Caenorhabditis elegans: one gene and its partners. The protein of the gene in region 1 interacts with the protein of each later gene in a pairwise test. Each region holds a gene or a part of one and is shown in the gene's direction. Other genes may lie near its edges.

Region 1 (11,458 bases):
TCATTGTGTAATGAACCAATCAGTTCTTCTTCTTACCAACCGTCGTCTCATCTTGCAATGGTATCTCCACCATTCGGAGAGATTAATCCATTCATGAGAAATATGCCAGCTCAATCGGAATCTTCTCAAACGGGTGGATTCGGTAGGATTTCAAGTGGAAGTATCGGAGGATTCTTGAATCCTGGTATGGCTCAAGTTGCTAGAGGAAATCTTGGATTTGGAAGTACAAAAAGTGATGGAAGTATCAATGGAGATAAGAGACAGCATCACCTTGGATACGTGTTTCTCCTTTTCGAGAAAGAACGAAGTGTTCGTGATTTGGTTTTGGATTGTTTCGAAGAAGAAGAAGGACTTTTCATCACTTTGGAAAGTTCGACTGATTCAATTCGTGTGCAGATTCGTCCATGGTTGTTGGCAGATGCTGAGTTCCTTATGGATTTCAATGTTCCCATCAACACAAAACTTGTGGCATTTATTGGTGGTGTTCCGAGACCGTTGAAAGCAGTCGAGTTGGCTCATTTCTTCGAGCAAACTTATGGGCATGTTGTGTGTGTTGGCATTGATATCGACAATAAATTTAAATATCCACGTGGATCCGGACGTGTTGCTTTCTCTGACTACGATGCGTACGTTCAAGCAATCACTGATCGTTATATTGTTCTGGATCATGAGGATATTCACAAGAGGGTATTGAATATTCATTAATATTGTTGAGAATCTCATTTAAATTAAGTTCAGGTGGAGATCAAGCCATACTTCTTTCACAACCAATCTTGCGAGGAATGTTCGGGTCGTTATCATCGTCAACATGCTCCATACTTCTGTCCATCTCTTGAGTGCTTCCAGTACTACTGTGAGCCGTGTTGGCACAAAATGCATTCGCATCCAAGTCGTTTCCATCACATGCCAGTTGTCAAGGGAGTCTGAGCACTAATGTCTTTGAAATAAATTTGTTTTAACTCGTATTTTCATGTAATTTGACTACTTTTGAATTAATAAAGATTTATATTCAAGTTGCTAGTCTCTGCGATTTTTTGGAAATTCGAATAATTCGGAACCCGGTCTTGAAGCGACCGAAATCTCATAGCTACCGTACTCGAGTATGTTACTACGGCGTACTGTAGTTGATGTATTCAAAAATTTCAAGTTTCTGTTTTGAAAATTAAAAAAAAATTAGTTAATTCGTTTCCATGGTTGTTGGCAGATTCAATGTTCCTTGTGGATTTCGATGTTCCCATCACAACAAAATTTGTTGCATTTATTGGTGGTGTTCGGAGACGTTTTTGAGCAATTTAATTGAAACGTGGTGTGTGCATAAGGAAGTAAAATTCGAAATACTCTCGGATACAGAAGCTTCAGAGTTTCGATCACGAGTACCATTTTACGACTAGAATATCACTTTATACTGAGATTTTGTACTTTTTGAGAGCTTCGGAAGACATGGGGAAGTGTGATTGAAATAATAAGATAGTTTGGATTGTAATGGGTATACTGTACTTTCCAACTAGACTGTGAGTTTTTTTGCAAGGGTGTGTGTATTTTCGACAAAACTAATTTTCCACAAAAGTTGGTTCTAATTGCAATGCCATGGCAGTTGACGATTTAAAAAAACAAATAAAAATTTATTAAAGTGAGAAAAAACAAATATTCATCTTCCTTGATATCTTTTTGACACATAATGATCCTCTGGACCCCACGCTTCTGATGTTTCTCCTCTTGCTGCTTTCTCTGCCTTCTCTCGTTCTCGGATGACTTTCCAGATTTCAATATCTCTCCAATCAGCTTTCTCAAAATCTGGTCTTGGATTATGTTTAACTTCTTCAACTTCTTTCTTCTTTCCAAAATCAAAGTGCTTGTTCTCACCATACAAATCATCTTCAGCCACAACTTTATCGATAAGTTTGGCTTTATTATTCCAATCCCCATCTGGATCTCTTGCAGCTTTCTTCTCCAATTTTCGAATTTTCTTTGCTCTCTTCTTTTCCCGCTTCTTCTCCTTTTTTGCTTTCTTCTTATCTTTTTTGATTTTTTTCAGCAACTCTTCATCAACATCTCCAATATCTAATAATACTTCTTTGGCTTTCTTGATTCTCTGTTCTTGAACTTCCATAGGTGCTGCTTCTCTCATTACTGGTTTTGGAGCACATCCTTCTTCCCATAATCGTTTCGTTTCATCATCGGCATCTTCTTTGTATTTCGGGACTTTATATTCTTCCACATGATCTACACGAATCATTCGTTTGTGTAACTGAAAACAAAATACTATTTTTGTTGTCGTTTAAACGATCGATTTTATTTGAAAAATTTGAAAAAGGCTTTATATTAATGTTCTATCAGCATCTTTGCATTTTTTTTAAATGAATTAAAAACTTACGCTGATTCCATTGAAGTTGTCCACTGCCAAAATCGTACTTCTTTGATCTTTGTAACACAAAAAAGCAAATCCTTTCGACTTTCCTGTGTCCTTATCTCGAATTAAATTGATATTCATAACTTCGCCATATCTGAAAAGAACTTTATAAATTGAGAAACAATTTTTTGCAAAACTCACTGAGAGAAAACGGCAATAACATCCCCTTCTGAAAGTGCGTATGACAAACCACCAATGTAAATCCAGGCAGAATCTTTGTAAGTTTGATGCCACGATTTTTTGAGATCTCCAGCGTAACCCAAACTGAGCTCCCGCTCGTTCATACGGTTCTGATTTTTGATATTCGTAATCGGATTCATGTTTTACTGCAAAATGTTAATTAATCAGTGAAATATAACTGAAAACAAGATCGCAACACGGAATAATGGAAATTAAAGAGAAAACTAGATTTCGTAAATTGAAAAGGGGTACGGTCGAAAGTCTGCAAACACAGCGACGTCAGAATGCACACATCTCGCGCTTTCCCCATTTCTGTCTTCAGTTGCTTGCATCGATTTTTCTCTTTGTTTTTGTGTAATAATTATCTTTTCGGTCATATAACTTGTTTCAGGGAACCTGGATTTATTCATCAAATAAGTTTTCAAGACACGAGTTCATAATGGGAGGAGTACGAGGTATTTATGTTTTTAACGTGAAATTAAAGTTTTATATTTTCTTAAATCCACGCTTATTTGAATTGAACATTCTTCTGATAATTTTTATTCCCTGAAAGATTCATAATGTGCTGTCATATTCATATACAGTGTTTCGATTGCTGCTCTATGAAAAATACAATTTTAGCTGTTGCTGCACTGGCGTTCGCCGGAGTTGTTGGCCTCACTTTCCTCGTTCTTGGATGTGCCCTGCCTAGGTACGGGTTAGTTTTAAACGTCTTGAAAATGCTAATATTCATTTTTTAGAACATGGACCCCAATGTTTGTTATCACATTCTACGTTCTTTCGCCGGTACCACTTCTCATCGCCAGACGCTTCCAAGAAGATATGACTGGAACAAATGCATGCATTGAATTAGCTCTCTTCATCACCACTGGAATTGTCATCTCCGCCTTTGCTCTTCCGATAGTGCTGGCACATGCAGGAACGGTAAGTATAATTTAAGATCAAATTTTGGGTAAATGTGGAATGATGTGAATAAGTTTATGTAACGCATGAATAAATGTCCAATTCAGATAGCAAACAGTGCATGCTTCCTCGTCAATACAGGATCTGTGATTATGTTCGGTACAATTATTGCATATTTCTACTTGCATCGTGATGACGACAGTGGAAGCTGGAGCCAGTCTCTGTTCTAAATCATTCACTTCACTATTAATTTCTTGTCAAGTAATTGTGGTTCGTCTATTTATTTCAATTATCGCTAAACCTTGTACAACATGTTAATTTTTTTCAGATAGCGATGTCCGCGTGCTTCCTAATCTTCATCGCCAATTCAATCAACTTTAGCGTCATCATTTTTTACTTCCGCATTTTCAACGGCGAGGATATGAATGGGATGTCATTGTGGTAACAATCGTCTGGTCATCATCTCCTAACTTATTCTTTTTCGATTTTCCCTATATTCTACTTCGTTACTCTCACTTTCCTCGGTGGATTCTCAAACATTGTATAAATATAAAGAATTGTTCTGTAAATTTGGCAAATAAAAGTTACCAAAATAAAAACTGTATTAGACTTCCAACTGTAATTAATTTCTGGAAACTACAATATTAAACTCAGAGCGTTTGCTCATTTCATGTAATTACAACTCATGAAATTCAAAAGTTATGAACGTTATAGTTTAATTAACTTGCGTTCGATTTTGATACAGCCTTCCTCAATGTCTAACATGTATTTGGGCAGGAGAACTATTGAATATTTCACGGTATTTTCATTTCATTCACTTATTCGTCAGAACTGATATCGTGCTTTTATAAGCTTTCAATTAAAAACTCAAAAAAAATAAACTTTAATTGATACGGTATACCGTAACATTGGCAAATTTAAAGGAACATTCACCAAATTTCTGTTAAGGTCTCGTTGGGTGATTCCAAACAGCATTGTGCGCGCGCTACTTTTAAAAATTTTTCATTTGTCATCAACAAATTTGCTTGATCAATCTTGTGCTATCCCATTTTTTCTATTTTGTTTAAGTTAAATTTCATGAATTGAAAACTATGAACAAGGACAATTCTCCCTCCGAAAGTCTCGTTAACTCGAGTGCTTCGGAAGATAAAACCGTGAAGACTTCAATGAGCGCCAATAATCCTTCAATAAATGGTATCTTTAGTTTTATTTAAAATTTATGGATAAATTTTATTTACTTTCAGATAGCTCACTCCCAGAAAGATTGCCTGCCATGTGTGGATGTGATTCTCAAAATCGGGAAGAATCTGCAAACTCCGGAGTTCAACTATCGGTTTGTGATTGAATGAAGAGAAAAATGCATAATTTTTGTTTTTAGGATCATGCGAACGAGTCCCTATCGAAACAAGCTGATGACGTTATATATGAGGGCGGGCTGGAAGATAAAGATTCAGTATTCCGTGCAATTATTGAAGACGATGATGCTTGCGAAGTATTAGATGATGGAATCGATAATTGCGAAGTGGAAGTGCGAGGAATTAAATATAGAGTGCGATCTAGAGCTCATAACTTTTTTTGCAAATTTTATTTTTAGATTCCAGTAGCTATCGAGTGTCACCTCTGCAATGAAATGATGAACTTGTGTTTGAGGAGAACTCGTTATCGTGGACAAGCACGCGAATACCCAGCATACCGCTGCAACCGCAAAGGATGCCAAACATTTCGATCCATTAGAAAAGTATTCGGGAATTGTATGTCAGATGTCGATAATTCTGGCGATGCTACAACTCGTACTATGATTTATCATCCACCACATAAAGTTCGAAAAACTTCACCTGGAGAGTTTTCTGATGATGGTAACGAATAACACTTGAGAACATAATTACATTATTTTCATATTTCAGATAGCAAAGAGTTTGTTGTTCAACGCGTCTATATACCAAAAATTGATAATCGGAATAAGGATCAGTCGGTCAAGTCTTTATCGGTCACCGACCGAATGAGAAAGGCGAACCAGGATCGTGCGATTGTCTTCTCAGAGTTTGCAGATCAACTTCGTCGAGATATTGTTGCTAATAAACGTGTGAGAATCAAAAAACATGTAGAAGAGGATCAACAAGGAACATTATTTTACATCAGCAAGGAGCTCAATCCACAAGAAGTTATTGAACTTCAAGATGTCATTATTAAAACACTCATATCTATGAGAAAAATTCCGCCTCCTATGACGATGGACGACTTGCCGCTTTTCGCCAATTGCCCGTACTCCAAGAAAGCAGTTGATGCTGGGTTAGCAAAATCACAAAATGATTTTTGGATAGCCTTTGCCAATTCGGCACAACCTCCACTTCCTGCTGGATTTATTAAACGGAGTGACGACACACTTATCTACAGAGATCCCAGACCATATGTGTAAGTTGCCTAACGTTCAATACAATGATAAATTGCATATGTTACAATTTATATACTTTCTTCCAGAGTACCAGAGATCCTGAAACAAAATTCACCACGCAAACAAGCTAATGCTGTAGCTAGTTATCACGAAAGAAAAATAGAGCAAGATGCAATTAGGATGAAAAGACGACAGGTCGAAAAGAAATGCAGATCATTTGCTTCTCTGAAAAGGTTTCAAAAAAAATATCCTACTAATTTCAAATTAAATTTTTTACAGAGAATTTGATATGTCTGAAACTGAAGAGCGTCCGAGACCGAAATTGCCGAAGACAATATATCAAAATACGAGGACCCACTCTGATTCTCTCACTGAGAGGTCTCGCCATTTTACTTATGACGAATTGAAACACAGCATGGAAGCGAATGCTGAGGGCCCATCGACGTGTAGAATTGGTATTAGCAGATCTGAAAGAAATAGTGAGTCATTGCAATGGATTGGTTTGAAGACATACGAAGATAGTACAGATGGATTCGCAAAGTGAGATCTTGTATGCAAGTTCTTAAAAACATTATTAAATGTTTCAGGTCCGTCAATTCTGAAGGTGAACGTCAGCAAGGAATAAATGGTCAAATTGACGATGAAGTCTTTGAGGATGAATCAAGATTCAAACCAGTAGCGTCAATGCAAGATGTGATGAGGACATTGTCTACTCCAAGCACACTTCGACCACCTGTGTCTCCGCTTATGAAATCATTCAGTTCGATGGACAGCTCAAACTTCAAGAATCCAATCAACGCTCATCCACCAATGTTCTTCTCGGATCCGCATTTCCTAATCAACAACAATCAGTTCAACAGTCCAACACCATTCTATGCTCTGAATAGTTATTTCCCTTCATTCCCAATGGATTCTAGCCAAGTCTATCAGAATGCTACTGACGAGCATTTCACCCCTAGCGGAGCATCCGAAGTGGTCTGCACTGAGCAAACGCCAGGCCATCATTTCACCTACATACATCCAGACTCTGGGGTTCGTCTCACCGATCCGTCAGCCTTCTTGACATCATTTGTCCCATCTCCTATCACGAAAGTTCCTCCAATCAATTTTAATGACGAAACGTCGAGGTCTCGTTCTGCCTCTGCGGTAACTTGTAATAATTATTATTTACAGTTCAAAATTCATTAAACATTCCAGCCATCAACTTCTGTTTACAACACTGGCGAGTTCGAAAGATCACACAAGAAGTATGAGAATGAGGAAGATGAGAAGCTGATGGACAATCAAAACTTCAGTGACGAACAGCCGAAAGAATAATGTTTGTTTTCTCATCCAATCTATTTGCATTGTTTTATTCCCACATTTATCGTTTTATTGCACTTGTTTTAACCAATTATACTGTATGTCATGTTATTATTTGTACTGCACTTTCCTAGTTTTCATGTTGTCATTTTTATGCATGTTATTCGCACAATTATGTGATTGTTTTCATTTGTTTATTATCAATTCAAATCGAATACAGTTTCATGCTTCTTCTCGTTCTCTTCTCAAATCTGCTTGCAATTTTATATCTGCCAAGTTGTTGCTTTCATAGAATCCTTCCAACGCCTTCTGCTTCTTTTGATGGAGTTTTTGGGAATGTTTCTTGAGGAAGTAGCACGAAAGTATCCAGGCGATGACTACACAAAAGACGAGGCATAAGGCTATGAAAACTTTCTGACGAAGTTCTAAATATTGAGGAGGCTGCTCACGAGACTTTTTCTGAAAAAAACAATATTTTTAGAAGATATTTTAGCAACTCACAAATGTATAATACTTCATGTTTCCAAACTGATACTCCGTGAAAAGTTTCTCGATTGGATCTAAGAGTGCCGGATTATAGTTTTGTTTCAGTATTGCATATCCATTTTCTAAAAATTGATCTACGATTTTTTAACCGATTTAGATTTTTGTGCAAAAGGTACGTTACCTGGTCTTGACACGAAACTTTTGTTAAATGCCAAAAGGCGTGCGCCTTTGAAGAGTAGTACTGTAATTTCGAAATCTCGTTTCTGTTAAATTTTTAACGATTTTTCATTGTTTTTTTTGATAAATAACTCTTTTGAACGAAAAACTATGGACGATTGATGAAATTTCCGTAGGAATGGAAGTTTGAAATTACAGTACTCTTTAGAGACGCACGCCCGAATGAACTCTACAAAAAAAATCGTGTCGAGACCGGGTATCGTATTTTGGGTGCAATTTTTGCGTCTGATAAACATAACTGGGATCGTGGCAAGACCCATTCAGAAAAGTAACGTGTGCCTTTGATAAGGCGCTTCAAACTTTCTCGGAATTACAATATTCAGGCAAACCGTACCTGTCAATCTCATTTTTTCATTGTCCGTTGCCACTTTTGTCTCATCGCAATAATTGAAGCAAGTGACGGGAGTGTACTTGAAACTTTCTGTACCATTAGTTCCAACCTTGTCTATGAAGCACCATGGACCATGGATACCGGAAGGAATGCCAGTTTCAATTGCAGATGGCGTGGAAACAGAGTACATTGGGTTAACAACTGATAATTTAATATTTCTGCATTTTGAATGATGGAAGCTCTCCGAAGCTTGTTTTTTCATTTTCTGAGAATCACTCGCAGTGGGGAGCCATGATTCTGTGACCTCAATCCATGGAACACATGGTTCTCCATTGACTGATTTGTCGTTATTTCCGAGATATTTATAATCAGACATTGCTTTTTTGATAATACATTCAGCACCTGAAAGTTCAATTTTGAGATATGACAAATAGAAAATGTACTTACGAATTCGGTCTTTCATGTCGAAATACTTCCCGTCATATAACATTCCAGACGTTATTCTGATTAAAATCAAGATATTGACAAGAATTTTCATTTTTTGAGCGTTAAATAAAGATAAATAAATTTTTATAGAAAAAGCATTACAACGCGGTTTCCCCTAAAATTTCCGTCATTTTGGAAATACACGTTCCAAATGTTACAGATGTGTTTTTTAATCATTACTCACTTTGTCGTCTATTTGTAAGATTTTCGTTTAATAAATGTAAAATTTCGTAACGAAACATGAATAAGAAATTCACAAGTTTATTGAATCACAACCGTATGAAGAATTTAGCAAACATAAGAGTTAACAATACAGGCACATAGTTTCAAATTAATACATATTCTTTCATTTAAAAAAATTATGGGAACTCTGTAACTGTACACACAACAGTTCCATTATCATCGATTATGCTTGTTTTACACGGTCTTCCATTCGATGTCAAGTCTTGTAGTGTATCAATTTTTGGAGTCGATCCTGGAAAGAAATGAAGATTTGTTTTAGTTATAGAAGGCTAGGCCGAAGATGATCCTTCTCTATTATAGCTTTTCAGGTAATGATATATTATAGCTGAATTTTAAGTTTGTTTGGCTAGACACATAAATTCTTCACTTTAGACATTGATACTTTATAGAAAAATAACATTTAGAAAATATGAATGAATTGCCAAATAAAACTTCCGGATGTCCATAACATTTTGACCAAATTTAGTTACCACTCATTCCCCTGATTTGCATTCTAGAGCGTTCATATTTCAAAAATAACTTCTGACATCAGAATTCCTACTAGACATTTGTATACCTAGCTTTGGATATCTAGTAAGAACTAAATTCTAGTAAAAAAGAGCATTCTCGTTTCAATTGAGATTGTTTCTTTTTCCCAAGACTCGACCAAAAATTGTAACTTACTATTAGTTAAAAAGTAGGGTTAAACTTTATCAAGACTTGGTTTGGGCCGTGTTACAATTTTGCAGAAGTTTGATTTAACTCTTGCCGATCTTTCAGCCAAGTTTTTTGTGGCGTTTTAAGCTTTGGTAAGTCATTGGCAAGTTGGAGCACACATAATCTAAACATGGGCGCGACATAAACAAAGCCTTGCCCTAGTCTGTCCAACTTCTGAACCAAGTAAAGTTTTGCTATTCATATTGAACCGCGTTATTTTTTGATATCAAAAAATTCTCAAATGTTGGTTTCTTATAAAAATAATTTAAAAAACCATACCATTTCTGAGAGCATGAATTGGCGACACTTGCGTCTGTACACCATCTTCATGATGAGCTAAGAAACGAGTTTCTTCGAGTCTTTCCAAATTCGCATGCTCAACAAGTGTCTGTGGAAGAGATATTTTGTGCCGAGTTCGATTCGTTGTATTCATCGATATTCGAGACTTTGTTCGCTTCCAATGCCTCCAAATGACAAATTTATCTTGAACAGGAAGCCTCAGCGAGATTCCTCGGATTCCACATCCGTATACCACAACTAGTTCTTTTCTGAAAATGAGAAAAAAGGTTAAGTGAAATCATGTATCAACTGTAAAATCTTTAAAAAACGTTTACTTTCTATAGATTTCACGATTTTAAGAATTTTGCTGTGATACGGGAAAGTTGGCAACATTTGAGATTTTAGTTAAAATTAAATAAATAATAACTCAAAAGCCTAATTGGTTTTATGGTTATCATGGTTATTATGGTTATGGTTATTTGTGGTTATTAGGAATCTTAGAATTGCGTTGTTATAATTGCAGAAATAGAATTTAATTTTCACCGCTTACCTGAAATCTTTTCCAAAAAGTAGATAAATTACAAAGTTGATTGAGGAATTGATGATTGCTAGGAAATTGATAGCTTCTCGAGAGAACGTGTAGAATATATGATGTTCAACCATCAATGTCTCCTGTCCCATAATTCTTTCCAGAAGAGTCAACACAAATCCCCAAAAATTGCAACCGAGAAAGATGAAAACAATAATAACGAGGACCAGTGTAGCTTCCCGTGATTTCTCTTTCAATTCGTTTCGACTCGAAATTCTGGAAGGAAATGGATTAATTTTGGAAAAGGATCAATTTTTCAAATTGAATATTGAGTAGGACTTAAAACGGAAGAGAAGATCCCATTTCAATATTGCTCTTCCGTTTTGAGACCCTCTTTCACGTCACTCAAAAAATTAATGACAAGAAACTGGAAAATGTTTAATTTTGTTAAATAAAACTCTGAAAAATTAAAGAAGCCAAGGAGCAAAAAGCGAAGCATTAGAAGCTGTAAAAGCAGCATATCAGCAGTGAAGGAGAAGAAGTAAGAAGTGTTTTGGAGGCAGCATGCCCATTGAATACATAACAACATAAAAATAACTGGAAACATGCTTAGAGGCACCGGAAAGATTCAGGCGACGTAAGCGACGTGGCTACTGAAGAGGCACTTCCCCTCGAACAATCGTAAACGACAGTACGACGGGGAGCCAAGCCGCGAAGAGTAAAAGACGACAGAGGGACATGGCAAAGACAATCGGACGGACAGTACCCGGCGATGTTGCGCGGAAGATTTACACTTGCTGAAAGGGCGGCCACCACGCTTCTGCAAAATGTTGAAAACGGATAAAGAGAGAGAATCAGAGATCAGACCCCATGGTATGTGTGGGTGCAAGGAAAGGTTCTGATTTCGGAGATGTGCAATTCTGTTTTTAATGGAATCAATTTCATAATCATCATTGGGGGAAGTATGCATTCAAGAGGAAATGT
Region 2 (10,788 bases), 2.2 Mb from region 1:
TTAAGATAGGTGAGCTAATTTTTTGACCATTAATTTCAAACTAAAATTTAAAAAGTTTAACTATGATTTGGGAATTTTAGATCGGTTTAGTGGAGCCTGAAACTCTGTAACTTTTTTTCAAAACTTAAAGAGCCGCACTTTTGCATCAATCATCATTACTAATTTCCCGTTTTCACAAAACCCAAGTAACCCAAGCTCTCAATCCGTTTGAACACGGGAAATTGTCAAGACAGCCCTCCATTGCCTCCGTGTTCATTTAATTACACTCTCTTCTTCAATTTCTCTGGGTGTCTCCCCCTCTCTCTGCGCATTTCCGTACCCCCTTCAGTAGTCCGCCTCCTTCATTAATAGTGCCCCCTTTTACTCCCGGGCGGTCCCTCTCGGTACCCCCCCCCCTGTCCTCATCGGTTTATGGACCTTGTCTGCTCCACCAGCCGTCTATGTGCTCCATGAGCTGCGTGATGCCTCGTCATAAAAACCACACCGCGAACATATATCCATCCCTATAGGGGGGACCCATTTCGTACATGGGCTCCGGCGAGCCCCTGTGCTCGGTCACTCACACTTTTTGCTCGCTGTTGCTGGCTGCTGCTGCTGCTTCCTTTCATCGCTCCCTTTTTTTTGGGGTGCAATTCTCCAATTTTGGCGTTGCGGAGAGGTCTTAGAATTTTATTTCGAAATTTTGTGCGATTTTTGAGGCGCCGGGTTTTTTCTGCCACTTTGAAGTTTTGTTGAAATTCAATTTAATTTGAAAACTGAGCCACATATAAGTTTTTAAAAATTTCATAGTTTTTTAAATTGGTTTTTTTCATTTTAAATATTTTCAGAATTTATTTTAAAGATTAAAAAAAGCTCGAAATTTCAAAATTTCGAAGTTTTTAAAAATGTTAAATTTGGAAAATTGCAATAAATTTTATTTTTCATATTAAGTTTTTACCGTTTAGTTCTCGAGAGAAACCTACACTTCAAAAGTTTGAAATTATGATTTCTTGGTCGACAGTAACTTTTTTATGCCTACCTATTGCCTGCCTACTGCCAATTCGTGTACTTTGGCAGCAGGTAGGCATGTAGGCACAAAGAAGGCCTTGGGGAAAGTTCCTGCAAACCTGAACATAACTTTTATCAAAACTTTCCTGTACAAACCACCCAAGTTTGGCCAATTGCGGCCGTCAACTTCAAACTTTTTTTCCTTTCAGTGAATGTGTGTTTTTTGACCGTACAATGACCACTTTCACCGAAGTGTAATCAGTATGTTTTCCAAATTGAAACTGGTTTGAATGCAATTGGTACTGTCTTGTTGCTGCCCTATCTCCCACACTGAATCCCTGATTTCTCTTTTCAATTGTTCAATGGATTTTACAAAGTACTCTTTAAATTATGTCGTGTGATGAGATAAGTTGACAAATCTTGACCTTATTAATTATAAAATTTTGTTGTTTTTTTTAATTTTAAGTTGAAATGTTTTGTGTGGAATGTCCATAATTTTATCCTGATTTTGAAAACAAATTGTCAATTTGTTCTGGCAATTTATAGTTTAAAATGCGGTAAATCTCAAATTGACACTTTAATTTATATTTGCGCTTTCATCGTTTGTTTGTTTGTTTATTCGAAATTTGATAAAATAGCAACAAAATGTAATACATAGAAGATCATAGGCTTAAGCTGTCTAACTCAGTCTGCTCCAGGCCTGCCACAGGCCTGCCTCAAGCATGCCTACCTAGATAATGTTTACCACTTTACATTCACTTGTTTACGTGAACTTTGACCGTAGGTACCTGAAAAGCAACGAGGCAGATGTAGGTCGCCTTATTAGATACAGGCAAGCCTAGGACCAAGGGTGCGCGGCAATTGCCGAACGGCAATTCTACAAAATGAGACGGTTGGGCATGTTTCCCCGATCTTTTTTATTAAAATTTGATGATACAATATAGAAAAATATTTTCTCTATCTGAAAATGACTTTTATTTGACTTGAAACAACCGAGAAAGTGTTCAAAAATTGTCCGAAAGCTGAAAATTGCCGTCAATTTTTCGGAAATTTTTATCGGCAATTTTCAACTTTCGGACAATTTTTGAACACTTTCTCGGTTGTTTTAAGTCAAATAAAAATCATTTTCAGATAGAGAAAATATTTTTCTATATTGTATCATCAAATTTTAATGAAAAAGATCGGGGAAACATGCCCAACCGTCTCATTTTGTAGAATTGCCGTTCGGCAATTGCCGCGCACCCCTGCCTAGGACGCCTTAGAAACAGGCAGGTGAGGTCACCTCGAAGTCAACCAGGCGTCGATGTAGGTAACCTCTAAGGCAAAAGGGCACTTGTAGGTCGTCTAGAATACAAACGTAGGTAGGTCTGAAGGCAGGTAGGCGTAGGCCTGCCAAAACTGTCTGTATTTTTTTAAAGTAACTGTGTTCTGAAAATTCTTCAAAAAATGAGTATGAGAATGCCTAAAAGACTTAGAAAATTTCAAAAATATTTTAAATTCCAAAAAAGAAAATTTCAGAAAGTTCCCAATATTTTTCTTTTCCGAATCCTCGCTTTAAAATGGGCGATAAAAATCTCCAAAACGTTTTTTTTTCTTTCAAAAAGTTCAATTTCTCGCAATTTCCCGCCTCCCATATATCTTGTCACCTTTGGCACCGAAGCGAGCCGCTTCTCTCTCAAAAGTCAATTGATATATTTAATAGAGTGCAGCGGTAAAATCTTTACACATTTCGTACGAGAGCACTTGGCACTGGGACATTGTAAATTGAACAGGAAAATAGAAATAAAACTATTATAGATTCGCAACAAATAGTCCAATTGACCATCAAATTTTAATACAATAACCACCGAATTGTCTTCCAGCTGACTGAGCACCTGTACGGAAACGATTTGATTCTTTTGAGAACGAGGAAAAGGGAGTGTGAACTTGTACATTTGCATGTCGTACTACTACATTTCCTTTCACTCTCTAAATCTCTCGTCTCTTCTACTATAAATCCCTTGAGGGTTATGCAGAAAGACCAATCCCCCCTCTCACTCGAAACCTCTCTTTTACACAATCGGCGTGGGCTGTTTACTTTTCATTAGTATCAACAACAGTGTTTCAGTTTTCGGTTCTTTTGAACTTTTATTTTGATTTGGAGAATATTTAGTGCAAGCACGTGGTGTCAGGTTGCCCCATTACAATTTGATCTACGAAAAATGCGGGTAATTTTTTCCCAAAAAATGTGACGTCAGCACGTTTATATCCATGTAAAATCAGTTGAAAAGACAGCGTCTAAATTCCCGCAATTCTTGTAGATCAAACCGAGATGGGACATCCTGACGCCACGTGGGCAAGCTTATTAAGCTAAATTTGCTTTTTGAAAATTTTTAGAATTTTTCGTTTTTTTAAGAAAAAAATTTGACATTTCTTTAGACATTTGTCTAAAGAAATTATGATACAATTTTTAGTTAAAAAACCCGATTAATTTCCAAAAAAAATTCCAGAAAAGTATAATCCCTCTAGAAATCGATAAAGTAGTCAAATATCTGAAATTGTCTTCTTTCGGAGCTAGCTTGAATATTTTTGTCAAAACCTCAAAACTTTTCAGAAAAATTTACACAATATTTTCGTACCTATAGAATTTCCAGGAACACCTAGCAGAATTTTTTAAAGTTATTTTGATCAACTAATAATTCAAAAAAAAGTTCAAAAACCGGAAAGTGTTCGAAATCATTCAAGAATGTGTGTTGTGTATCTGTGATTGTGCAAATAGTCTTTTGTTACGCTCGTTTGAAAGTTCAAATATTTGATTCTGTGTGGGAGGTCACGGGAGCACAACACCTTTTAAAATAGTAGCTAGAAAACTAGTTTTAAAACTTCTAAACTTTAAAAAAATCTGAAAAGTTCTAGTTTTGACCTTTTTCAAATACCAACCAATTTCACTTTGTCATGGCTTTTCCGTATGTGTCACCCTTCCCCTCGGAACAATATTACTCTCGACTAGCAAGCTGTTCATCAATCAAATTTCATGAGTTATGAGCGTAGATGCCATTCTGCGCTTTGTAAATACGTAAAATTCAAGGGTTAGCTTTTTATGCGATTTATACTTTTTTGAAAGTTTTGAAAGTCTGAAAATTTAGCAAAAATTCAAAAAGAAGGATATGCTTAAAGCCCTAAGAATTTTTCGTTTTAACCTTGAGGATTGGTCGAAATTTAATGAAGGTCGAAGAGAAGTCTGAAATTTTGGAATTAGATACTTAGATACTGGAGACGAGCCTAAGCATAGTCCTGAGCCTAAGAATAAGCCTAAGCCTGAGCCTTTAGACTTTCTTGTGAAGCCTGAATCTAACTAGTAACCCTCCTAATAAGCATGAACTCTGAGGTAGAAGTGGTGCTCTTGAAGCATAAAAAAACAAAAAAACTCAAGTGCAATATTGCAATATCCATTTCGTAGTCCTCTCGAATGTCACTCACCCATCAACATTGTGCTCGCGGTCAGTAAATGCAAATTGCAATCCTTGCCTCCCGTATGTTTTTCACACATTTTCCTTATCCATCTGCGTCTCCTCGTCTCCCGATTCTCGCGCATTGACCACCACTGACCATGGTCTCGCAGGAGAAAAGGCGCTTCCTGTCGTGTGTTCTGCTCATTGTGCAGCACTTTTGAAGATTTTGCAAAATGCATATTTACTAGGAGAAGCTTTGTATAAAAATTTCACTTACCATTTAACCTCACTTCAGAAAAAGAAATGTAATTGACCCCCATTTTTCAAGGTTTCTTTGTTGTTAGAGTCTATTGTACTAACTTTTTTTATTCTTTTAAGTACTTCACACATTTCTTTGGCAAATTGGAAAAATGTTGAAAAGGGGGTCTGTATTAAGTGCTGGTCTGGAAGTAGCCATTACATAGCTGAAGCAAAGTAGCCGAGACGGCTAGGTCGACAGACTAGTTCTGTTCTTTCTGAATAAGCTTTTAAGAAATATTTTTATAGTTTGCTTCTAATTGTAATGGCGCTCGGCAGGCACTAGGCATGCACTAGGCAGACACTAGGCAGGCAGAAGGTAGGTTCTAGGCAGACATTAGGCTGGCACTAGGAAAGCACTCTGTAGGTCGTAGATAGGAAGTGCCAAATAGGCACTAGGCAGGTGCTAGGCAGACACTAGGCAGGCACTAGGTAGGCATTAGGTAGGCCCTAGGCAGACACAATGTAGGCAACCCCTCCTCGGCTTATCATTCCCAAAAGCTCTTGAAAAGGAAGATGTTTTTTTCATCATGAAAATTTTTTCCGCGATTTTTTGGGGAAGTGTGTATGTGGTGCGCAGTATAAACATTCGCCCCAATCATCATCAATATTATTGTGCTCTTTTTCCCACTTGCTCTCTCGGGGGGCTCCACTCACACATTCAAATGTTGAATCAAGCGATTAACCCATCGAGAGTTGTTGCATGCATCTCCTCTGTTTTCTTTTCCTCTTTTTCTCGCTTTTTTTGAAAAAAAAACTCTATTTTTAGATTAATAAAACATAATCAAATAAATATATGAAATTTACAGTGTCTGGGGGTAATCTGAGCCAAAATCTAATGTCCAATGCACCATCAACGACGACATCAGAAGCCCAGAAGATCGCGACAACGACGACGACGACGAAAATGCGATTGCCCAGTGTTAAGGAACTTGCCAAGAGGTAAGACAGCATTTTTTATAGGATTTTGTAGAGTGTAGAGATATTTTAAGGTTACTGTAGAAGTGGTACTATAAGGTTTTTGGGGTACAGTACTGCAGGGTAGTAGGGTATAGTAGGGACACTGTGGGGGTACTGTAGGAGTACGGTAGGAATACTGTAGGGTACTGTAGGAGTGATATAGAGGTATTGTAGAAATACTGTAGGGTGGACTACTTCAGGGGTACTGTAGGTACTGTAGGAGTACTGTAGGGGCAGTGGGAGGCTTTCACAGATGTAGTGCCGGTAAGGGCACTGTAGAGGAACTGTAGGAGTACTGCAGAAGTGTTGTAGGAACCTGTTCGACTATTTTAGGAGTACTGCATAGGTACTGAAGGGACAAAATGAGGCTTTTACTGTAATAACATCTGTAGTACCAGTTTAGGGTACTGTAGAGGAACAAATTGGAGTACTGTATAGGTATTGTAGGAGGATAACTGTATGGGTACTGTATGAGTACTCTAGGATAACTGTAGGGGTACTGTAGGAGTACTGTAGCTTTTTCCCACTTTGTACGTGTCATCGTTGCTTATTTTCAGCCAAACTTTTACCAAACATTTATTTTTGAAAAACTGTCCCCGCCTGCTTGTTGACACATAGATTCTATCCATTTTTTCAAAAAATATTTATTTAAGTTTAATTTTGGCAGCTCATATCTAAGTTGTCATAGTTTTTTATCAAAAAGTTCTTAACTGAGAAAATCTTGGTTTTAAATTTTCCAATAGTTTTGCAATTGACCAATTTTGGATATTTTTGAATTTCACCGGAATATACATAAGCTGCCAAAGTGTAGAACACAAAATTTTCATACCAATAGAATAACCAGCTAGAAAATTAACTTTTCTCTTGTCCTATGCTTCTTCGTTTAAAAAAAAAGTTTTTTGTTTATATGTCTGCAATTCAATTTCTGTATGATTGTCAAACAAATACTACTTTTCCTCCTCCTTCACACACTCACTCCAACACAGTTGTTCTCCAGCCAACAATAGCAGCACATTACCCTTCGGTTGATTGACATAATATATTGAAACCGGACAGGAAGAAAAACGGTTGAAGAAGTAAAGAGAGACCGAGGGCGTCGTCATTTCTTCCAGAAGCTTCTTCGTGGGAAAATTGTTGGAGTTTTAGAGATGGTTCGGAGAAGTTTGGCAACTTTTTATGAAGTTTTACTCTAATATCAGCTCAACTTTGAAAGCTTAAAAAAGCATTAAAAATGTTCAGAATCTTTTGGAAACTTTCTCCAACTTTCACCCAAACTTCAACTTTAGGATGTATATTATTTGGAATTTACCATCTCCTAGCTTTAGCGCCTGCCTGCCTAGGAACCTACCTACCGCATCCCTCTCTTCATTAGTACATCTCTGAAGAATTTCCAAAATGTGTATGTCTCCCCGCTCCCCCTGCCTTATCACCATCATTTTATTATTATTGTTATCAAATATTCCCACCACGCCTCATCACTGACCACTCCTTTTTACGATATGGTCATTTGGAGAGATTGTTAAACAATTTTTGAGTTTGCCGAAACGTTTCGTTTTTTGTAGTATTATAGAATGTAAAATTTAAAAAAAATTGCGCCAACCAATCAGCGACGTTAGCCACGCCTATTAGAATACGCTGATTAGTCGGCGACTTGTTGAATTTGCAATTTTAAAATTGATCTTCCAAAAGCTATTTCCGATTTCCAGATTCGAAACCAGCACAAGCCGAATTGAGCACCACAAACCGGTGATCTCCAAACGAATCGGCAAGTTCCGGGTAGTGGAAAACCTTCACGAGTAAGTAATTTTCCTCTTCAGTTTTGCTCTTAATTTGCTTGTTTTTCAGGCCGTGCACATCACGAGTGCTACGTGGAAGCGCCATACCGCGACGGAAAAGTTCGTTGAAACGACGAACGCGGAGCAACTCGGAGCTCGCCGTCCTGGTCACATCTTCTGAATTTCGGAAGAGCAAATCCACTGGCGACTTTTCACCGACGGGTGCCGGAGCATCGGGTGCTCCAATTGTGATAACACCGCTACCTGCACCTAGATTACGGTAGGTGAAATGAGGGGTACTGTAGGAGTACTGTATGACAACTTGAGGGGTATTGTGGATTACTGTAGAAGAACTGTGGGGGTACAGTAGGGCTACTGTAGGGTATTGTGGGATACTGTAGATTAATGTAAGATTACATCGTGGGTACTATAGGAATACTGTAGGTATTCTGTAGGGGTACTGTAGTAGTACTGTAGGGGTACAGTAAGGTTACTGTAGGGTATTGTGGAATGCTGTAGGAGTGATGTGGGGTACTGTAGGGGTAATTTTAAAAAATAATGTTTTTAATCAAAGTTTTAAAGTTGTTCTGAAAATTTTCAGTCTAAAACTTTATTTTAAATAATTTAGTTTGAAATACTATACAAAAATTGAACTTTTGGCAATTTTGAAGCTTTATAAATTTTACAACAATAATCTTTTACAACAATATCTTCAAATAAAATTTCAAAAAATTCAAATTTAAAAATTTCAATTCAATTTCTCTTCAAAACATTTCAGTTTCCAAAACCTTCCGGCTTTCAAAATCTTGATTAAAGTTTTGAAAAGTTACTTTTTTTACTTCAATAGAATACAATTTTATAAAAATACAAAACAGACAAATTTTTAAATAGTTCTTTATAAATAAAGCAAAATTTCAATGAAACCACTTCGAAAAACCATTAAAAATTTCAAACAAAAAACTAATTTCTAAAAAAAACTTTTTTTTTCAATTCCACCCACAGTGACTCATTTTTCGAATGTTTCAAGGTTCTCTATGATTCACGAATCAGAAATGTAAATAAGAATCCCTTTCTATTTCAGTCTTCAAACAACAAGCATGATTGTTGAAAGTTCCCCTTCTCCATCTTTCCATTCCAAAAAAGATGGTCACCCAGTGTACGAGGAGCGGTGTCGAGTGTCCTTAACAATTCCAATTTCTTCGTCAGAAGATCTTTCCGCTGTATCTCCACCACCACCTCTACCATCTGTACCTCCGTCTAAGGAGAGGATCAAGAGGATTCCTTCCTACCTGAAGCCTACTCCCGCGCCGAGGTCTATGTCTGCCACGCTGCCCAGGGCTCGTCTGAAGACCCCACCACCTCCACCCCCAGTTACCAATCAATTTGACACCCTGCCGGTCAGTTTCCGGAGCAGCTCAACATCCTCCAGCACAGGAGGTCTCCCGAGAATCCCGAATATCCCCGTCCCAGATGTCCCTTTTATTCCACTGGATGACGACAACTGTTACGATGAAATTATGCTGGTCACGCCATCATCAAACACATGTATACCTACACATCAACGTCTAGAATCCGAGTACACCTATGAATCTCAGTCTACCGACTTTTCAAGGCCGGAGCCTCCTAGAGCCTCCGGGTCAGAGCCCAATTCAAGCAGACGGGCTTATCCTCGGGATGAGGAAATCTTTGATGAAGCTGAAGAGGAGCTTCTGGAAGAACAAAGATTTCAAAAAGTGCCGGAAATCAAAGAGCGCTTCCTTTCCTCAACTCTCCAAAGGAATCCAAAATCCTCGAAAAGGATGAGCTCAATGGAGCTGGAAAAGCTGTTCAGGTTCAAGAGCGAGTTGCAGCTTAATTTGTCGAAAAAGGTTGGTGCTTTGTTTTTTTTGTTCCTTTTTGGGTATTCAGAAAACAAAACAAGAAAGACAAATCAAACTAATTCTGATTGAAGGTTAGCCAATTACGGCAGAAAGTCGGCGACAAACAAGCGAAGAGACGATCAAAGTGCCACGTCAGTGTTGATCTACTGGACACTGATTTTAGTTCTATGGTGAGTTTTTTGAGAAAAAATATCCAGAAACTAAAAAAATTTATTTAAAAAAATTTGAAGTAAGTTTTTTGAAAATAATTTCTGAAATTTCTAGGCAGTTTTTTAGAATTATTAAAAAGGTTTACTCTAAATTTTTTGAAGCAAATTTTTGTTTATTGCATTTTTAGTCAATATTAAAATTTTTTTAATAATTTCCAGGAATTTGATTTTTCATTAAAGTCTATTTTTTTCTGAAATTTCAAGTCAGTTATTTCAAAATTCTATAATTTTTAATTGAAATTTTTATAGATATTCTGTAATTTTCAATCAAATTATAATATAAAAATTTTTGGAATTTTTTGTCAAAACTTTAAAGTTTTCATGACACCTCTGATTAAATTTTTTACCTGGAACTTGAAATTTCTGGTCAAATTTTTTACATGTTTTCTAAAATTCCCAGTTAACATTTTAGTAATTTTTTTAAATAGAAATAGTAGAAAACTCCTTAGATTTTCTGAATTTTCTGGTCATAATTTTTTTGGAGTCTATGAACTTTAAGCCAATTTAAAAACGGTTTTTGAGTTTTTCTGTCAAAGTTTTAAAGATTTTTTTGAGTTTTTCAGGAAACATTTTTAAATGATTTTCTGAATTTTTTGTTGGATTTTTCGGTTGACGAATGAATTTCCAAAGTAAAAGTATCCAAAAAATTAAATTGAAATTTATGTAATTTGTTTAGGCAAATTCCGGAATTATTTCCATTTCCCTTTTTTCACATTTATTTGTTGTAATTTTTGAATTTTCCAGATGTCAAAATCGTCTTGCGTTGACAAGCCGTTCCAGGATGACGATCACATTTATGGGGATGATTGGAGCAGTGATGATGATGATATTTATCACGGTAAGCTTTTGCTAGTTTACAAATTCTTTTTTCCCCTTTTCCCTTCACTGGTTACCTCCTACCATGTCCAATTGTTGAAAAATCATGTCAACGTAGGAATTATGATCTTAGTTCCGGTGGTTTTGATTTCATCCTACTATTCACAAATGCTTACACTAAATCTATTGTCAGGGAGGTGTCGTAAGCCTACTGTAATACTAGGAATTTGCTTTTTTTGTAATTTTTTTTTTCGGAAAAAAGCCATGCAGAAATTCACAAAATACTCGTATTTCCAAGATGGAAATTGAAAACCTAATAATGGAATTATTCTCGAAAAATGTTCAAATTTTCTGTGCACGTTTTTTTTGTTTTTTAAATGATTTTTTAAAATTAAAATTGGCATAGATAAAATCTTTTGAATTTTTCAATGTC
Region 3 (9,905 bases), 2.9 Mb from region 1:
CGAAAAATGTCGAAAAATTACGTCACAAATGTATTTAAATACATGTTTTTATTGTTACTTGAATAATGGGGTTATTCAAGTAGTGTCGGAAAATTAAAAAGTGTAGAAAAATTAAAAAGTGTAGAAAAATTACGTCACAACTGTATTAAAATACATAAAAACATGTATTTTAATACATTTGTGACGTCACAAATGTATTTAAATACATTTTGCTACATTACTTGAATAACCCCATAAGGCAAAATATGTATTTAAATACACTTTTTAATTTTCCGACATTACTTGAATAACCCCATTAGTGAAAAATCAATGGTTTTTACCATTAATAACCGGGAATCCGTACAAAACTTCGAGAAACTTCTGAAAATCGTCTACATCAATGTCGTAGAGGGGCACTTCGGCGAGTTTCGCCTCGTAGAAACCGCCGAGGAACAGGGATTCGAAGAAAGTTGAATGAAAGGCGAGGAACTGGAAATTATTTTGATTTTAACGTTAAAATATTCAATTTTTAAACCTTTTTCAGCAAATAAAATCGTTGTCCATTCACCAAAACCACAATATCCGAGTATTCCATCATTTTCTCGTCGAAATCCATTAATTTCGGTGTATAAAATCCAATTGATTTATTAATAAGCACGCGGGCTTCTACAGTGATACTTCCGGCTTCCATAAAGCTTGTTTCCAGCTCATTCCAGCTAATAAACTCGCTCCAGCCGTACGAGGAGTAGAATTTTCCAGAATCGTGTCCAAAACACATGTCTATCTTGCATTTTTGATCCCTGGTGTCGGAATAAACTGAAACAAGCTTCAGCTCAAGCTCCGAGAAGATCGACCACATTTCCTGGTCCTTGAGATTCGTACATCGGAGATAAATGCCGAGATTTCCGTTGTTTCGCTGAATTTGGAAGATCCTGAAAACATATTTTCACAATAAATTCATTTTTCTTGATTTTAATTACCACGGAACATTGAAATATTCCTCCACTGTGCCGAATCTCATATCATTGTCATTCATATTTGATACATCGTTAAATACACAACGGAGCACAAATTCTTTGCCGGTGACTTGGCTTCGGCTCATTTTCAGCCTGAAATTAAGTTTAAAATTTTGTTAAATTTCAAATTAAAATTAGATGAAAAACATTGAAAAAAAACGCGGAAAATGAAGCGAAATTCAAATTCAAAAAATAGATTTTCGAAAACTTGTTTCACTGACTACGGTAGATTTTTGTTTCTGCAAAGTGTTTGCGTCCTTCACACTTCACTCCACGCGCAATTCTCGCACTACGGTATTTTTATTTATAAAATTTTTTAACTGGTTTTTTTTTTCATTTTCCGATTAAAGCTATCGTTTTTTGGCCGAATTTTTATTGCGAAACGTTTTAAAACCTGACATTTATTCCTTAAAAATACGTTTATAATCTATTTTTTCTTCAGGAAAATGACCGAACTGGATAAGTTCGAACTTTGGCCCGAGTTGCCGTCGGATTTCAAACTTCAATGCATTCAAAAAATGGATTTCGAAACGAGGTTATCTAAATTTCACCAAATAACTTATTAAAAATTATATTCAGATTTAACCTGCGATACACTTCCAGCGAAGAGATGCGCCTCGTGGACTCCCAGAAGATCTCATTTGAATTGATGAAAATCAATTGGAATTTCATTTATTTCGAAGTAACGTTTACTGGAAAGCTAGAAGCTGATCTACACGTTGACGGGTGGTGCAGTGAACGTAAACTGCTCCCACGTCTTCTCTTCGCTTTAAAAGTTGGAAAAATTCAACAACTTCACATCTGGAATACCACCGAACGGCTTCTAAACGAAACACTTTCTCCATTTACGGGATCGATTTCATTGAATGTCAAAAACCTTCATCTCGGCTTGGAGAGCAACAACGATATTCTATTCTTTTTGGAAAAATGTGACAAGAAACAACTGAATACTATTGAAACTGACCAAAGGGACAACGATATGATATGAAAGAAATGAATATGATATGAATGATATGAAAGAGCTTGTCGAAGCATTAATTGTTAGTTCGACAAGCGATTTCCATTGTATTTGCAAATAATAATTATTATCATTTAGGTCTCCAACTACAAAAATGTGGCTTTCTCTAAATGGTACTATCCCGTCAACCCAGAAAATATGGATTTACTCGTGAACTATCAGATTGAGGTTTGTTTCAACAATTTGCGAACAAGGCCAACAAATATTACTTTCAGAGTTTGATTTCGAATAATGCAACAATTGGAATAAATTATCGATTCAAAAAATGGGATGCCGATCAATGTATGGATATGATGAGCACAAATTTCAAAGATCGTGTTGTGTGAGTGTTCCCTGATGCCGAACATTAAAATGACTGATTTTTTACAGCCATTTCAAGAAAAACGACGAATTGAGACTTCAAACTAATAATCCTGCCAAACACATTCTTCTCACAAAATGCGATCGATATTCAAAGGCGTGGGGAATTTTGTGTCAAGTCATTCCTTCGGATCTTCACGAAACTGGATTTGTTGCCGTGTGGCCAGGCTGGAATGATAACGACCCCGATGCGGATAGAGAGCCGATCAGAAATTATGATGAATGGGATGACTGGTATGACTCGAACAGCTATCATTCACTATTTTCTTAAGAAGAATGGCTATGGTTACCTGATTAATTAATCTTGTTATTGTTTTGAATTATTGTTTTCCATTAAAGCATCATTTGTTATCTCGTTAATTTTTCTTCGAAATACTGTTTCACTTCAGCTCTTTTGTACCTTCAAAAATCGATTTATGGTGCGTCCATAGTCTGCGGAAAACGGGAATTTCCCGCGTGCGGAAGCGTCTGCGGAAAAAACAAGGAGTTTCTCGCTTTGTTATTGGTCAATTTCAAAATAGTGAGCGTGTTCAACCAATTAGAGGCTGTAAAATTTTAAACTGAGCAATGGGAAAACAAGAAACAACAGCTGATTGGTTTGCCACGCCTACTTTTTTGAATTTTGAGGAAAAAAAAGCGAGGAACTCCGGTTTTTCCGCAGACTATGGACGCTTCCGCACGCGGGAAATTCCCGTTTTCCGCAGACTATGGACGCACCATTAGAGTTTTCCAAATCCGAAATTGAGAAGACTACGGTAGAACGCAATGTCCGCAAAGTGTTCGCACACAATGTATCACATCTCACGCGCACTTCTAGAAGTTTCGTAGAGTACGGTACATTGACTATTTTTCACCTTTTTCTTCAGAATCCTGGTTGAAAATTGTGCGAAAACGTTATTTTTTTTGCTTTTATTGTTATTCTAAAAACACCAATTAATTATAAATTATTGATTTTCCAGTAAAATGGGCGAACCGGAGTACGAAACGAATTGGTGTGATTTGCCGCCGGAATTCAAACTTCAATGCATTCAAAAAATGGATTTCGAGACGAGGTAAGTCACTTTCCTAATTGAAAATCTTGTAAATTTCTATTCTTTTAATAATTTTCAGATTCAACCTCCGCTACACTGCCAGTGAAGAAAAAAATCTCGTGGGCTCTGAGAAGCTTCACTTTTATCAAGTATATTTCGAAATCTTAGGATATTCGAAAAGTCTTGTAGCTACATTTCTTGACAAGGAGAATGCTCAATTGGATGTGTGCGACACCGAATCTGTTGTCAAAAGCCATGTTATTCCACGTCTTCTCTATGCTGTCAATGTCGGAACCATGCAGAAGCTCTACATCCAAACAGACTCAGACAAAGGAATCAACGAAGTGCTCGCCCCGTTATAGGAACCAAAAATCTTTGAATGTCAAGTTCTTGAAGCTCGATTCGAATAACACAAGCGAAATGCTTTATGTTCTGAACAAGTGCAATGGGCTCGAATCTGTCGAGATTATTCACTACAACAACGAAACGACTGATATGAAGGAGCTTGTCGAAAATCCAATTGTAGGTCGTTCCAGTTTCCAACGAAATTTCACCTGTAAAATGTTTCAGATTGTGAACTGCAAGCAGGTGACAATCTCAACAGTTGGCGGCATGTACGGCTCACGTGAATTGCTTATGAACTTTCAAATTGAGGTATCGTTAATTGGTTCTTGATGGAAAAATTAATAAAAATCAAAATCACTTTCAGCGGCTCATCTCGGGTGATTCTGCAATTGGAACTCGTTTCCGACAAGGATCGTACGAACCTGACCACGTAATGTCGTTGGTCAATAGTTGTTTCAAAGACCGTGTTGTGTGAGTCTTCCATTAGTGCAACAGTTTATATATTATTTTCTATTTTACAGAAATTTCCAAGACCATCAAGGATTGAGACTTCGCACCGACAACCTTGCCAAGCAAATTCTTGTCAAGAAGTGTTGCAGGGACGATTTCGAATTCGAATGGGGAGTCTCGTGTCGAGTTATTCCGTCGAATCTTCAAGATATCGATTTTGAGGAAGATTGGCCGATCTGGACTGACATCGATTCAGATGAAGATTGCGACTATTCTTCTGACGACGAATATGAATATCAATACAACTCAGATTCTGACTGATTTGGATTTTTCTAATTTTGTTGTTGTTATTTTGTTTTCTTTTGTTGATTTGTTGAATAAAGTTGTTGTGTTGAAGTACTTTATGAAAGTGAAAACGGCCAGTAAAATTTTGGTTGGGCTTATTGGGACGAATAGAGCTTTTACACGAACATTTTACGTTGTTTTTCACATAAAAAAGTGTAATTTTAATTTTAAAAATCAACTACCGCAGTGCGAGAAATGCGCGTGAAATCCAGTGTGTAGGACGCAAACACTATGCAGAAACGAAAATCTACCGTAGTCAGTGAAACAAGTTTTCGAAAATCTATTTTTTGAATTTCCATTTCGCTTCGTTTTCCTTTGTTTTCAATAGTTTTCTATTTAATTAATTGTTAAAACTTAACAAAATCATATTGTAAAACAAAAATGCTCTGTTTCGCACCATTTAAATACCAATTTCAGACTGAAAATGAGCCGAAGCTCAGTCACTGGCAAGGAGTTCGTGATCCGTTATGTATTTAACGATGTATCAAATATGAATGAAAATGATATGAGAATCAGCACAGTGGAGGAATATTTCAATGTTCCGTGGTAATTAAATTCAAGAAAAAATTAATTTATTGTGAAAATATGTTTTCAGGATCTTCCAAATTCAGCGAAACAACGGAAATCTCGGCATTTATCTCCGATGTAGGAAACTTAAAGGCCAGGAAATGTGGTCAATGTTCACGGAGCTTGAGCTGAAGCTTATTTCAGTCTACTCTGACACCAGGGATCAAAAATGCAAGACAGACATGTGTTTTGGACACGATTCTGGAAAATTCTACTCCTCGTACGGCTGGAGCGAGTTTATTAGCTGGAATGAGCTGGAAACAAGCTTTATGGATGCTGGAAGTATCACTGTAGAAGCCCGTGTAATTATTAATAAATCAATTGGATTTTATACGCCGAAATTAATGAATTTCGATGAGAAAAAGAAAGAATACTCGGATATTGTGGTTTTGGTGGATGGACAGCGATTTTATTTGCTGAAAAAAGTTCAAAAATTGAATATTTTAACGTTAAAATCAAAATAATTTCCAGTTCCTCGCCTTTCATTCAACTTTCTTCGAATCCCTGTTCCTCGGCGGTTTCTACGAGGCGAAACTTACCGAAGTGCCTCTCTACGACATTGATGTAGACGATTTTCAGAAATTTCTCGAAGTTTTGTACGGATTTCCGGTTATTAATGGTAAAAACTATTGATTTTTCACTGAAATAATAGTTTTTTTCAGATAATACTGTTGAAGGAATCCTTTTGCTGGCTGATATGTACCAAACGCCGCTTGTCTCCGAGCTTTGCGAGGATTTTCTCATTCAAACCACCGGAAAAACCTACAAGAAGAAGCTACAAATGGCGATAAAGTTTAATTTGGAGAATTTGAAACAATTCTGCATTTCAATGATCAAATCTCCCTTCGATCTTCGTTCTATGATCCCATCGGACATTTCCAGCATCGATCACTCTACGTTGGCGGCTCTTTTCACAAAATCACTCACTTTAATGAAATAATATGTATTTTATCAAACAAAATCCATTTTACTCGCTTCAGATGTGCCATTTAATAAATTCTAGTGCTTCTTAATTTTTTTGTTGGCTTTTATCTCGTTTTATTAAACGGTTTTTTAGTTGAATATCAAAAAAAAACTATTTAATCTGACTACGGTAGACGGTGAAGTACGCAATACACAACTGCGTACCTGGCATTTAATTTGACGATTAGTGTGAGCAAGTTTTCCGATAATTTGTTGTTTTTTGAGTTCTTTTTCATTTTTCGCGAATTTCAAAGAATTTTTCAATGAAATTGTACACTTTAATTCACTTATTTTTCAGAAAACTACAAATTTCAACCAAATCGCTCGGAAAATGGCGGATAAATTGGCGAACGTGTTGGATTCGATTAAAATGTTCGTTTTTTTCACCGCTCACCGGTGAAAAATTTTCCAAACAGTTTTTAAACTAAAATTTGTCTTAATTTCAGCTCCTCCGCGCCAACGCTGATTCCTGACAATCTGGATCCGATCAATAGTTCCGACGATTCTTCGCTATCCGATTTGTCGATGGAAACGGCGCCGGAAACATTCTTGTATGTAAATATCCATTTAAAAAAATCAATATTATACCTAAATTCTTGTAATTTCAGCTCAGAACCTCCAACTCTGTCGGATATGTCAATGGAAGTGCTCGGCAAAATTGTGGAAAATCTGGATCCATTCAATCGGTACAATCAAATACTATGGATTTTTATAGAATCAATAGTAATTTCAGACTTTCCGTCCGCAAAGTGTGCCGTAAACTGCGCGATGCCATCGATTCCACCGATCCAGGCTTCAAGACCGTCGAGGTTCGCGTCACTGATGATATGTGCTTGCTTTGGGCGAATAGTCAGTCTTCTTTCTACAGTATGACGGTTTCTGGAGGCATAATTAAAGGCACAAAGCGTTCGGAAAAATCTGAGTTTACTTCTTTGAATGGACTTTTGGATGAGCTTGCTGTGGTGCTGAAGAATCCTAGACTTCAGCTGGACAAGCTCGTGATCTACGCTACCATGGAACAAGGAAATATTGTGAAGTGGTTCGAAGCAAGCAACCCGATTCACACAAAAATGCTCAAGCTATCCGGATTCGAGCTCAGCGATTTCATTTTCCTCCTGTCCCGCTTCAAACCAGGTGTTCTTGAGGAAATCGATATTTCGTGGTACTTGCATCTCGCGAACACGCCATTCACACGAAATTATCGATTAACTGACTTATTCGAGATGGAACAGTGGAAGCAGGCAAAATCGATTATCTGAAAATTATCTATATGTTATTTCAGATCATCATGAATATTCCTCACTTCAAAAGCGGCGTAATTTGGGCTCATCAATCAATTCAACCGGAAGTTGCGAGAGTTTTCGTCCCAGTCTACGATTTTGGTTATCTTCGTACTTCTGATATTAAGGAGTTCCACGGCGATGAATTCCTTTTGACAATCTGCAAAGAGTTTTTTAAAGTCGAAAAGAAAAATTGTTAATCTTAACCTTGTTATTTTGTTAATTCTTGAGTGAAAATTAATACTCTTTGTTGTTAAAAATTGTAGAAATATTTATATTAAAATACTATTGTTTAATTCGATGAGATATATTTTTCTGCGTTATTTTTAAAGTTAATATCAGTTTTCCAGGCTTTTCCTCATAAGAACCAAAAAAAGTTCTGCGATTTTTAATCGGAAAAATTGAATTTTTAGCTAAAAACCATTATTTTTCAGATCTCCGTCACAAAATGAGCAATTCAAAAAAGGAATTCGTCCTGCGATTCAATTTAAAAAAAACCTGGCTCATGAAGAAAACAGAGCATTATACTAGTGAAGAGGAGGATCATTTCGGTATTAAATGGTTGGAATTTCCCCTAAAAATCGATTTTTAACGAATTTATTTCCAGGTGGCTGCGCGTAACTCGTGATGATCAATTTCTCTACGTAGATTTGGGAAAAAGTGGAACGGGATCCACTAATTTTCATGGAAACTTCAATGTTCGTGTCGAATCGGATCATGGAGTAATTTCAGAGAATTTCAAGTTTTCTGGAAGCAAAAGCGATGCTGAAATGTAGTTTTTTTTTGCGGAAAATCTATAAAAATAGCTGATTTTCCAAATTTTCAGACCGTCAACTTCCAATCGTTGCGAATCTTTCAAATGGAGCAATTTGGATTATTCAAAATACCTTTCCATCGAAGGACACGTGGAAATTATCGATATGACCGGCTATCATGATTTCCAGAAGCGTGTGGATTTCGGTAGTGACGTCACTAGACGGTTCGCTGATACAGTGCTTATTGTGAGAGGACAGAGGTTTTATGTTCTGAAACAGGTATCGATTTACTCCAATTAATCGAAAAAAAATTGTTTTTTTTCAGCACCTCGCTCTGCATTCTCCATATTTTAAAAATCTCCTCAAAGAATGTACATTGGATTCAGAAATTCAACTTCCCGATGTGGATACAGATGATTTTCAGAAATATCTGGAAATTTTGTACGGATTTTCTACTATTCATGGTGTGATTTGCAGAAAAATCGCAAAAAATCTATAATTTTCCCCCAATTTTCAGATAATTTCGTCGAAGGAATCCTGCTTCTCGGTAAATTTTTCGAGACGGAGAGAATTATTACGGCTTGCGAGAACTTTTTAATCGATAAATCGAGCAAATCAATAAGAAAATTGTTCGAGTTATCTAATAAATTCCATTTGAAGAAGCTTAATGTTAGTAATTTCTATGGGATTTTCAATGAAAAATCGATATTTTCAGAAGAATTGCGTTGAAAACATCAAAACATCGACGGCTCTTCGTCTCATGCTTCCACCGGACGTTCTCACCATTCATCATACTGCAATAGTCGAGCTTTTCCGAAGATCTTTGCAATTTCATTGATTTTTTCCCTCGATTTTTAAATGTATATTCCAATGTTTTAATGAATGATCACTCTTCGACATTACAGAGAAATTTGAACTACTAGAAGCTTGGAATTTGAATTTTTGTCGGAAAAAAAGCAAGTTTATCCGAAAATATCAGGAAAAAACTTTCAATTTCAAAGCAAAAAATCCACCGTACTCCAAGAATTGCGCGTCAAATATAGTGACTGTAACGTACACACTGCACATTCGGGAATCTACCGTAGTAAAAAACATTTTTTTCCGTTTTTTTTTTGCAATTCTCAATAACTGAAAGTTCTTTCAGCGATCCTCCGCAAAAATGACTGAAAAGCAAGATTTGATGTCTGAATTTCAAAAACTTCGCCAGGAATCTTCAAAAAGTCATTCTTCACTCACGGCTAGTTATATTCGGATTGATTTAAATTTAAATTCTTCATTTTTTACAGACTTCGCCATTAGAATATCGATTGATTGAAGTTCAAAAATGTTGCGAGAAGATTTCAAAGCGACAAGATGCTCAGGACGAGATTAACACTTCAATTCTCGACGAGCTCCACAAAATTCAAAAGAATCAGAAAAAATTGCTGGAAGAAGTTGGAGCTATTCGAAAGGAAGTGGATTCTATGAAAGCAACTACTGTAAAGGAAAATGAAGTGAAAGATGACAGAAAACTATCGCTAAATGAGATGCTACGTAAAAGATGTCTTCAAGTAAAGAATACAAAGATGAAAAATTCTTCCATGCCAAAGTTCCAGTATTTTGTTCGATTAAATGGAAAAACTCGCACTCTTAACGTTAATGCTTCGGATACAGTTGAGCAAGGAAAAATGCAATTATGTCATAATGCTAGGAGTACACGGATGAGCTACGGAGGTAGGAAATTATTCTTTAAAAAAATTAAATAAGTATGTTCACCATTTGTTATTCAGGAAAGCCGCTCTCCGATCAGATCACTT

The links.
Region 2: the proteins of szy-4 (region 1) and ephx-1 interact in a two-hybrid assay, tested with the Caenorhabditis elegans proteins (one large-scale study listed by BioGRID).
Region 3: the proteins of szy-4 (region 1) and bath-30 interact in a two-hybrid assay, tested with the Caenorhabditis elegans proteins (one large-scale study listed by BioGRID).

The regions. Positions count from the first base shown.
Region 1 is NC_003280.10:6,194,206-6,205,663, forward strand, and holds szy-4 (Suppressor of ZYg-1), read left to right. Parts: upstream 1-4,490; 5' UTR 4,491-4,584; coding exon 4,585-4,687; intron 4,688-4,737; coding exon 4,738-4,826; intron 4,827-4,871; coding exon 4,872-5,042; intron 5,043-5,087; coding exon 5,088-5,349; intron 5,350-5,397; coding exon 5,398-5,905; intron 5,906-5,971; coding exon 5,972-6,118; intron 6,119-6,164; coding exon 6,165-6,425; intron 6,426-6,472; coding exon 6,473-7,031; intron 7,032-7,082; coding exon 7,083-7,202; 3' UTR 7,203-7,409; downstream 7,410-11,458. Other genes in the region: cpb-2 (Cytoplasmic polyadenylation element-binding protein 2), read left to right, coding at 1-687, 739-927; rbmx-2 (RRM domain-containing protein), read right to left, coding at 1,649-2,248, 2,375-2,504, 2,552-2,730; C30B5.2 (Vacuolar protein sorting-associated protein 55 homolog), read left to right, coding at 3,030-3,045, 3,212-3,287, 3,331-3,514, 3,601-3,723; C30B5.17 (Kringle domain-containing protein), read right to left, coding at 7,410-7,646, 7,689-7,795, 8,245-8,643, 8,689-8,779; G-protein coupled receptor daf-37, read right to left, coding at 9,087-9,202, 9,946-10,214, 10,496-10,750, 11,241-11,294.
Region 2 is NC_003280.10:3,999,361-4,010,148, forward strand, and holds the start of ephx-1 (SH2 domain-containing protein), read left to right. Parts: upstream 1-5,553; coding exon 5,554-5,657; intron 5,658-7,381; coding exon 7,382-7,471; intron 7,472-7,520; coding exon 7,521-7,730; intron 7,731-8,531; coding exon 8,532-9,318; intron 9,319-9,401; coding exon 9,402-9,500; intron 9,501-10,283; coding exon 10,284-10,377; intron 10,378-10,788.
Region 3 is NC_003280.10:3,341,435-3,351,339, reverse strand, and holds bath-30 (BTB domain-containing protein), read left to right. Parts: upstream 1-4,961; 5' UTR 4,962-4,968; coding exon 4,969-5,090; intron 5,091-5,139; coding exon 5,140-5,536; intron 5,537-5,582; coding exon 5,583-5,730; intron 5,731-5,773; coding exon 5,774-6,051; 3' UTR 6,052-6,122; downstream 6,123-9,905. Other genes in the region: bath-29 (BTB domain-containing protein), read right to left, coding at 321-468, 515-911, 960-1,081; F14D2.8 (F-box domain-containing protein), read left to right, coding at 2,000-2,035, 2,092-2,181, 2,229-2,335, 2,383-2,607, 3,333-3,425, 3,484-3,766; F14D2.14 (FBA_2 domain-containing protein), read left to right, coding at 3,825-3,926, 3,975-4,058, 4,114-4,220, 4,271-4,520; bath-28 (F-box domain-containing protein), read left to right, coding at 6,406-6,446, 6,521-6,625, 6,683-6,760, 6,808-7,315, 7,357-7,554; F14D2.15 (BTB domain-containing protein), read left to right, coding at 7,803-7,915, 7,962-8,126, 8,181-8,388, 8,435-8,573, 8,627-8,778, 8,825-8,947; F14D2.11 (Ubiquitin-like domain-containing protein), read left to right, coding at 9,269-9,346, 9,396-9,822, 9,879-9,905.